Linked DNA regions of Callithrix jacchus. The protein of the gene in region 1 interacts with the protein of each later gene in a pairwise test. Links are inferred from orthologs where the notes say so. Each region holds a gene or a part of one and is shown in the gene's direction. Other genes may lie near its edges.

The links.
Region 2: the proteins of KCNA3 (region 1) and CAV1 come close enough for resonance energy transfer, tested with the Homo sapiens proteins (2 studies listed by BioGRID). The link is inferred for Callithrix jacchus from reciprocal best matches to the Homo sapiens genes KCNA3 and CAV1.

Annotation. Positions count from the first base shown.
Region 1 is NC_133508.1:148,535,346-148,539,617, reverse strand, and holds KCNA3 (potassium voltage-gated channel subfamily A member 3), read left to right. Parts: upstream 1-1,375; 5' UTR 1,376-1,509; coding exon 1,510-3,240; 3' UTR 3,241-3,583; downstream 3,584-4,272.
Region 2 is NC_133512.1:87,103,975-87,108,419, forward strand, and holds the start of CAV1 (caveolin-1), read left to right. Parts: upstream 1-1,445; 5' UTR 1,446-1,469; coding exon 1,470-1,499; exon of another isoform or gene 1,500-2,170; intron 2,171-2,859; coding exon 2,860-3,024; intron 3,025-4,445. UniProt on the Homo sapiens protein: May act as a scaffolding protein within caveolar membranes. Forms a stable heterooligomeric complex with CAV2 that targets to lipid rafts and drives caveolae formation. Mediates the recruitment of CAVIN proteins (CAVIN1/2/3/4) to the caveolae.

The DNA of each region.
Region 1 (4,272 bases):
TACAAAGCACTTTGGTAGATGCTAGCAGTATAAATTGGCCAGGACCTACTCTGAGCCCTAGAGAACCCTACGGTTGGGAGTGGTGGTGGGAAGTATTGACCACAAATCACTTACTTCAAATTGAACTGTCAGCGAACTTGGGGTGGGTGAGGAGCTGTCTAGACAACAGTTCCTCTTCCGTAAATGATTTGAATGATACAATTTAAAAAATGGACTCTTTAAAGCCTAGGGTTAGCTTATATTAGATTGTTAAAATTTCTGGAAACAATTGTGTTCAAAGTAAACCCCAACAATTTGGAAAAATACGTTTAAAGAAGATACATGTAAGTTACCTCTGGGCCCAGATCAAGCAAGAGGTACAAGTTGCAGAATGAATGCCCTCCCGGGTTTAACAAATAAAGCCTGACAAATTCCCCACCACAAGGGCAGTGCTGAAATATGAAGTAAAAAGTCTAGGTACAGATCCTGCTCTCATCCCTTCCACGACACACTTGAGCCATAGAGTGGGACTTTGTAACCACACAACTTAGACGATGTGAATTTCCTTTCCCATTTCCTCTTACTTCCCCGCCGACAGGAAGTCTCTGCAGTGTACAAAGGCCAGGCTGTCACTGCTAATCCCAATCGGAAACTTGGTCCTTGATTCTTCCCAGTGGCCGAAATCTCCGCAGCGAAAATGGGTGTGAACTAATCACTAAAGCGGCAGGGCCCGAAGGCCTTTAAGGGTCCATTTCCTTCGGACTCAGTCTGCGAAGCCCATCAGCACCCTTACTCCGTTCGGCTTCTCATCCTAGCAGGAGCTAAATTGTTAGACCCCCCCCCCCACGCTCCTTCCAGGGCTTGGCGGCCCTCGACCCTCAAGTGAGCCTGGGATGCCGGTGTCAGGCTTGCCTCCGGCCCAGGGCGCCCGCCTGGCCTGCATTCCCTCCCCGGACACCGGGACCTCCTGCCCTCCCCGGGCTGGCCCGGGGGGAATGTGAAGGCCAAGGGGCCGGCGCCCGCGGGGCCGCCGCAGGAGCTCCTGGCTACTGGGACGCCGCCACGCGGGTCGGGGGCGAGGGAAGCGGACCAGAAGCGGGAGGAGCCCAGGGGCCGGGGCCGGCAGCCGGACTCCCCGTGGGCCGGTTCCGCTGGGTGGGCATTCCCGCGGGGCGCCGAGGTGCAACATGAGGGCGCTTCACTGACACCGAGGGTCCGTGAGGGCGGTAAGAAGGGAAGGCCCGGCGGCTCCCTCAGGGCGCGAGATGCGCGCCCGCGCAGTGGGCGGGAATCCTGAAGGGACGCGGAGGCGGGCGCGCGCCCCGCGGGGGAGGGGGCGGAGAGCGCTAGGCGGAGGGAGGAGGCGTCTCTGTGCGGGAGCCCGGCGGACCGCGCCAGACCCTGACCGAGCCTCGCGGCGGCAGCTGCAACAGGCGGCGGGCTCCGCTCGGGGGCGGAGGCGGCGAAGGGGCGGGGAGCGCGAGGAGGAGCGACCCGGCCCCGCCGCCGCCGCCGCCTCTTCCCCGCCGCATGGACGAGCACCTCAGCCTTCTGCGCTCGCCGCCGCTGCCCTCCGCCCGCCACCGCGCCCACCCTCCCCAGCGCCCCGCGAGCGGCGGCGGCGCTCACACGCTGGTCAACCCCGGCTACTCGGAGCCCGCCGCAGGCCCGGAGCTGCCGCCCGACATGACCGTGGTGCCCGGGGACCACCTGCTGGAGCCGGAGGCGGCGGACGGTGGAGGGGCCCCGCCTCAGGGCGGCTGCGGCGGCGGCGGCGGCTGCGACCGCTACGAGCCGCTGCCGCCCTCACTGCCGGCCGCGGGCGAGCAGGACTGCTGCGGGGAGCGCGTGGTCATCAACATCTCGGGGCTGCGCTTCGAGACGCAGCTGAAGACCCTCTGCCAGTTCCCCGAGACGCTGCTGGGCGACCCCAAGCGGCGCATGAGGTACTTCGACCCGCTCCGCAACGAGTACTTCTTCGACCGCAACCGGCCCAGCTTCGACGCCATCCTCTACTACTATCAGTCCGGGGGCCGCATCCGCCGGCCCGTCAACGTGCCCATCGACATCTTCTCCGAGGAGATCCGCTTCTACCAGCTGGGCGAGGAGGCCATGGAGAAATTCCGCGAGGACGAGGGCTTCCTGCGGGAGGAGGAGCGGCCCCTGCCCCGCCGCGACTTCCAGCGCCAGGTGTGGCTGCTCTTTGAGTACCCCGAGAGCTCCGGGCCGGCCCGGGGCATCGCCATCGTGTCCGTGCTGGTCATCCTCATCTCCATTGTCATCTTCTGCCTGGAGACGCTGCCGGAGTTCCGCGACGAGAAGGACTACCCCTCCTCGCCGTCGCAGGACGCGTTCGATGCAGCCGGCAACAGCACGTCGGGGGCCTCGGGGGGAGCCTCCAGCTTCTCCGATCCCTTCTTCGTGGTGGAGACCCTGTGCATCATCTGGTTCTCCTTCGAGCTGCTGGTGCGGTTCTTCGCCTGTCCTAGCAAAGCCACCTTTTCGCGAAACATCATGAACTTGATTGACATTGTGGCCATCATCCCTTATTTTATCACTCTGGGTACAGAGCTGGCCGAGCGACAGGGCAACGGACAGCAGGCCATGTCCCTGGCCATCCTGAGGGTCATCCGCCTGGTGAGGGTCTTCCGCATCTTCAAGCTCTCCCGCCACTCCAAGGGGCTGCAGATCCTCGGGCAAACGCTGAAGGCGTCCATGCGAGAGTTGGGGTTGCTCATCTTCTTCCTCTTTATTGGGGTCATCCTTTTCTCCAGCGCGGTCTACTTTGCCGAGGCAGACGACCCCACCTCAGGTTTCAGCAGCATCCCGGATGCCTTCTGGTGGGCAGTGGTAACCATGACAACAGTGGGTTATGGTGATATGCACCCAGTGACCATAGGGGGCAAGATTGTGGGATCTCTCTGTGCCATCGCCGGTGTCTTGACCATCGCATTGCCAGTTCCCGTGATTGTGTCCAACTTCAATTACTTCTACCACCGGGAGACGGAAGGGGAAGAGCAAGCCCAGTACATGCACGTAGGAAGTTGCCAGCACCTCTCCTCTTCAGCCGAGGAGCTCCGAAAAGCAAGGAGTAACTCGACTCTGAGTAAGTCGGAGTATATGGTGATCGAAGAGGGGGGTATGAACCATAGCGCTTTCCCCCAGATCCCTTTCAAAACGGGCAATTCCACTGCCACCTGCACCACGAACAATAATCCCAACTCCTGTGTCAACATCAAAAAGATATTCACCGATGTTTAATATATAATACAAGTGACATGCTGTGCTCAGTATTGTGTGGAACGTGCCCCCTTGGTCTGCCTATGCCCTTGTTTTATACATTTCCAGACCATTCATCAAGGAAAGGACCTGAAGAAGTGGGAAGCACACTTCATTCTCCCTCTCCCTACTGCTTCATACTGAAACAGGTGCCTGTTTTGCAAGTGGGCTGCATTCTCTCAGCTCTCCTTTTTCCTCTTACCCTCTCTCTCTCTCAATATTGTAAACAACAAACTTACATTAAACTTCATTTCTAGTACACGCCCTATTTAAAAAAAAAAAAAAAAGCAGTACATCCTGGGAGGAAACGAAACTAAAGAACAGTTAGAGTAACTGTTTAACCTCAGAATTTTAATGGCAGTTGTTTCTTTCCTAAGCACATGAGTTTGTAGTAAATGATACTTCAGTATGATGGACCTTTCAACATTATTTACTGAATAAGTATTTCAGTTGCCTACCCTGTAGATATGTGGATGAAGACTCTAACTAGAATAATGACTTGTAAACCCACCACGAGTTTATTTGGTTTTTCCCAGAATTTTAAGGGTCTCTACAACTTTGAATGAAGGGAAATGCCCGAGATGTCCTGATCTGACTAATTAGTTTAATTCTTTCGGGCTTGCTAAGCATTTCTAAAGCATTAGACTAACAGATTCCTGTGAAGTTCTGTGCATATGTCCCAGCCCCAACATCTATCAAAGTCTAGAAACAGATGTTTTCAGTGCTGCTGAGAGAAACAAAAAATTTCCTAATGCATCTGAGAGATAAGCTTCGGCAGTATCGCAAGAAGATTAAAGTGGCAGACACCCCTTCCAGCGGAAGTTGCTAATTCGGACCTGACTGATGCAGTTCCCATAGCAACCCATGTTTCCTGGGAAACCCGAAAAAGGTTGTCATGGCATCTCTTGCTCTCTAGCCCCACCTTCCAGTCCCTGCTGTTTCCACAGTAACCTTTCCAGATGGTTCCTACTTAAATGATTTCGTAAAGGAAAACCACTGTTTGAATAAACCGCA
Region 2 (4,445 bases), on another chromosome or scaffold:
TCCCTGCCATTCTTTCCCTGCCATTCTTTCCCTGCCATTCTTAGTTAAAACTGATCTTTTGTTCCAAAAATTTTTGCTACCAACCATTGCCTGTCTTTTACAGTTCTTTTATACTGTGTCTTCTCTCCAACTAGATAATCAACTCTTTCGGTGTTACATCCATTTCCCTTTCTCCTCCCTCTTACTCCCACCCCATATTCCCATCTCTATTTTAATTTTAGCTTGTGCCCCTTCAGGTGTACTCCCAGCTTATTTTATTTTATTTTATTTTTAAAATTCCAAGTGATACTTTGACTTTTGACTACATATGGAATCATAAACTTGTCTTTTTCATTTTTGGATAATGAGTTTCCGATTAATTATCACCCAAAAGTAAAATGACTGATTACTATTTAATTAATTCACTCTGTGCTTGTTTACAATAAAATCAAGAGAGAAGCCCCAAATTCAGGAACAGACAAAGTACTTTAATCACTATCACATTTTTTAAGTCTAACCAATTAGAAAACTCAAATCTTTCCTCACAGCCAAGCACATTAAAAAAAAAAACTTCTATAATCATAAACCTGAAGCTTTAATCAAATAATTCTACAATTGTAAATACTTTATGTATTTTGCAAATATGGTATAACCTGTTGGCATAAATTTCCATTGTTCCAGAATAGATTGGTAATAAAACTACAGAAAAGTTAAACATCTTCCTTTCTTATTTCGAAGTGTTTGGGAGGCATTTCAGAAACGGATGGGAAACCTCAGATTCTGCATTCCTGCTTAAGTTTCCATCCACACCGACTAGATGTAAACGAGTGTCACCAAAAGTACACCACTGCCACCCACACAGATTCCTTCCACAAGGAATCCACAAAGTTTAGATGTAAAATATACCTAAAGGTTCCTAGCCATCTTTCACCCCTCCCTCTGTGAAACAGGGAGACAGATGTGTCTTAAGGCAGAGACGGAACGTGGGCGATGGGCGGGGCGGAGGAATGGAGGGGGGATGGCTTAGGACAGGGCAGGATTGTGCCGCCTTGGTTGCCCATACTGGGCATCTCTGCAGGCGCCTCGGCTCCCTCCACCCCTGCTGAGATGATGCACTGCGAAAACATTCGCTCTCCCAGGGACGCCTCTTGGTGGTTCAGAGCTGGAAAAATGTTGCCTCGGGTTTAAAATACTCTCCCCAGGCAACCCAGAACGGGAGAAACATTCTACTCGCTCTCTGCTGGCTGCGGTCGCTCCCCGCCCTCTGCTGCCAGAACCTTGGGGATGTGCCTAGACCCGGCACAGCGCACGTCCGGGCCAACCGCGAGCAGAACAAACCCTTGGCCGGCGGCCAGGAGGCTCCCTCCCAGCCACCGCCCCCCGCCAGCGCCTTTCCCCCCCCCCCTTTACAATACAAGATCTTCCTTCCTCAGTTCCCTTAAATCACAGCCCAGAGAAATCTCAGAGCCTTCATCCAGCCACGGGCCAGCATGTCTGGGGGCAAATACGTAGACTCGGAGGTAGGCTTCTGTGGGGGCGCGCTGGGAGTGCCCGCTTCTGCTTTCTGCCTCTCCAAGTACCCGACTGCTGCCCTGACCCCAGACCTCTCTCCACTTCGCAGCACTCCTCTGGGGTTGGCACCGCTGAGGAATGGGCCTGGGCGGGGAGGTGAAGAGAAGCCAGGAATGTTTTATGTTTTCCTAATGTGGAGAGGGCCAAGGGAGCCCCTAAACTACGAGGACACAGAAAAGTGGGTTGGGGTCCTGAGACTGGGTCTGCCGGGCTGAGGACACTTTCTCTGGATGGGTCTAGGATGCTCCCTTGTTGCGGGACCCCCATGGTCCGGCCCTGCCTGCTGGGGGTTCGGGGAGGTGGAGTGCAGGGGGAGGCGGAGTTATTTACCCGAGTCCTGGGGACAGTCCCCGGGACTCCCTGCCGGCGCCCAGACTGGCTGGCCCCAGAGGGGGCGCGAGGTGTGTTTGCACTTTCCAAAGTTCTTGAACCGTCTCAAGAACTCCTGCATCTTGGCTTCTGTCAGGGGCGTTCTGAGAGGGGTGGACCTGCCCTTCCCAAACTGCCACCACCTCTTCCAACCCCATCCACCCGCGGGAGCTCTGCCCGGGTGTGGGGAACTCGTCTTCCCGCCCGCAGCCTGGGGGTGCCCTGAGGGTGGGTCGGGGGAGCTGCACAGGTGAGACTGAGTTCTGGGATGTTTAGGGGGTCTGGCGCGCGGCTCCGCCAGAGATAGGAGCTTCGGGATTGTGATTAAAGCATGGGATTGGGGAGGGAGTACCGTAGAGGGACGAGAGAGGGCCAAGGCAGGGTGGGGGGCGCGGGCAGGTGCGAGGGGGACACCGCCAAGAGGTCGGGAGGCTGTTGTTGGGTCTTAGACAAAGCTGGAAGGGATTACGGGGACAGGGGTAATGGGGGCCGGGGACTGGAACGCGGAGCAGGTGAAGCGCTCGGGGCTAGAGCGGCGCTACACACGGGTCCGGGTCCGGGAGAAGCCCGAGGCCGCCCCCTCGCCGCCAGGGTCCTGCGGGTCCTGCGGGCTGAGCCGGGGCGAGCGCGGGGGCGGGGGCCTGAGGACCTCGCGGCGGGGCTTGCCCTGACCCCTGGCGGCGGGCGGGGGAGGCAGGCGCGCCCCACCGAGTACCGAGGGGTGTGGTGTCCTCGGAGAGATCCTCTTAAAAAGCTGGCGGCGCGCAGGCGGTTTCTGTGCGCGGAGCGGTCGCTGTCGGAGCGGTTAGTTCGATTTCAAGCCGGAGGTATTCCCGCCGCCGGGCTGACTTCTGATCGCTTGCTTTTCTTTTTGAATATTTCCTCCCACCACCGTTGCCGCCCTCCCGCTCCTGGCCGTCCGCCCTCCGCCCTCTGCAGGGACATCTCTACACCGTTCCCATCCGGGAGCAGGGCAACATCTACAAGCCCAACAACAAGGCCATGGCAGACGAACTGAGTGAGAAGCAAGTTTACGACGCGCACACCAAGGAGATCGACCTGGTCAACCGCGACCCCAAACACCTCAACGACGATGTGGTCAAGGTAGGCCGAGCGGCCAACTGGGAAGGGCCGGGACAGCTCTCCTCTGGCAGTTAGCCCGTGCATCCTTCTTTAGCATTGCCGTGCACACACCACACCACACCACACAACACACACACACACAGTTTTGTGGGTTTGATGTGGAGGCGCTCCACGGTCAGCAGAAATTGTCACATCTTCCTTCCCCCCATCTTCCCCAATAGTCAGTTCAGCTGGAATTCAGCTAAAATGAGTTTTGTAGAAGCTCTGATAACTACACTTTTGTCAGAGCAGATGACCCTATTGACCTCAGCAACAGACGGCCCATACTCCTTGGGACGGTGAGATGGTTCCCATCCATTCCCAGGTTGAAAGTCTGGTGCACGTGGCATTAAGACAGTAAGATAATTGTGTCAGGTCTTGTGCCGAGGAACAGTCGGAATACAAGATGGGCATGTTCCCCCACTAAAACGATGGGAAGTGCTTTCTTAAAAAATGATACAGTGGATGGAAATGCCTAGGACTAAAGACAAAGAAAATACCTACTTATTCACATACAAATGAGAGTTACTTTACGCTAATAAGTCACTTGTGCACAACTAAGCAAATCTACAAAACCAAAAACAATATGTGCCTCTTGGTTACTCCTATGGACACCTGCACTTAGATGTGGAAAGTTGCTTCTTTAGCAGCTGCCTGGGTCAGCCTGCCCTGAGCTAATGGCACATTCAGGTTGGAGTTCCTTCTCACACTTTCAGGATGTGTTTGGTGAGATTAAAAATAAATGGACCGGGTTATTGGCCAGACTTAGATGTGACTCAGTGGTCAGTTTTAAATTATCATTATTACTTGATTTTGACCCTTTTAGCCAATCTAGTGGGAGGAATTATTGTCTAAACACATCTGGATTGGGATATCATGGGCTAGAGCCATCCTTGGCAGAGGGTTTTCTCTGAGAAATGGAAGGCTAAGGAAAAATCCTGGCTCAGGGATTAGAGTGTGAAGATCTAGACCTACACAATCCCCAGCAACCAATGAAGTGAAGGAGCAATTGCCACCCACCACGCCTCCTATCTATGGATGGGAGGAGCTATAGGTTGCAAACTGTTCACATTCATGAATAATATATTTCAAAAGAGGAAACAGTTTAATCTGTAACTGGAAGGAAAATATAACTGTCAGAATTGACTCTCTTGGCTTCCTGGCATAGGAAAAAGGAAAATTGGAGCATTTGCAGCTTTTTTTGAGTAGCCAGATTATGGACTATTTAAAAGCAACAGCAACAAAAGTACCTTATAAACTAGAAATTAGAATCACTAAAAAAAACTATTTACTAAAAACATTATCTTAAAGGGAGAGGATATTTATGCTTTCCTCTCCCCTCCCCTCACCCTTCTCATGTAGCTTTGAACAAGGAGAGTTGCCAGGAAAAGAGGCAGATTTCA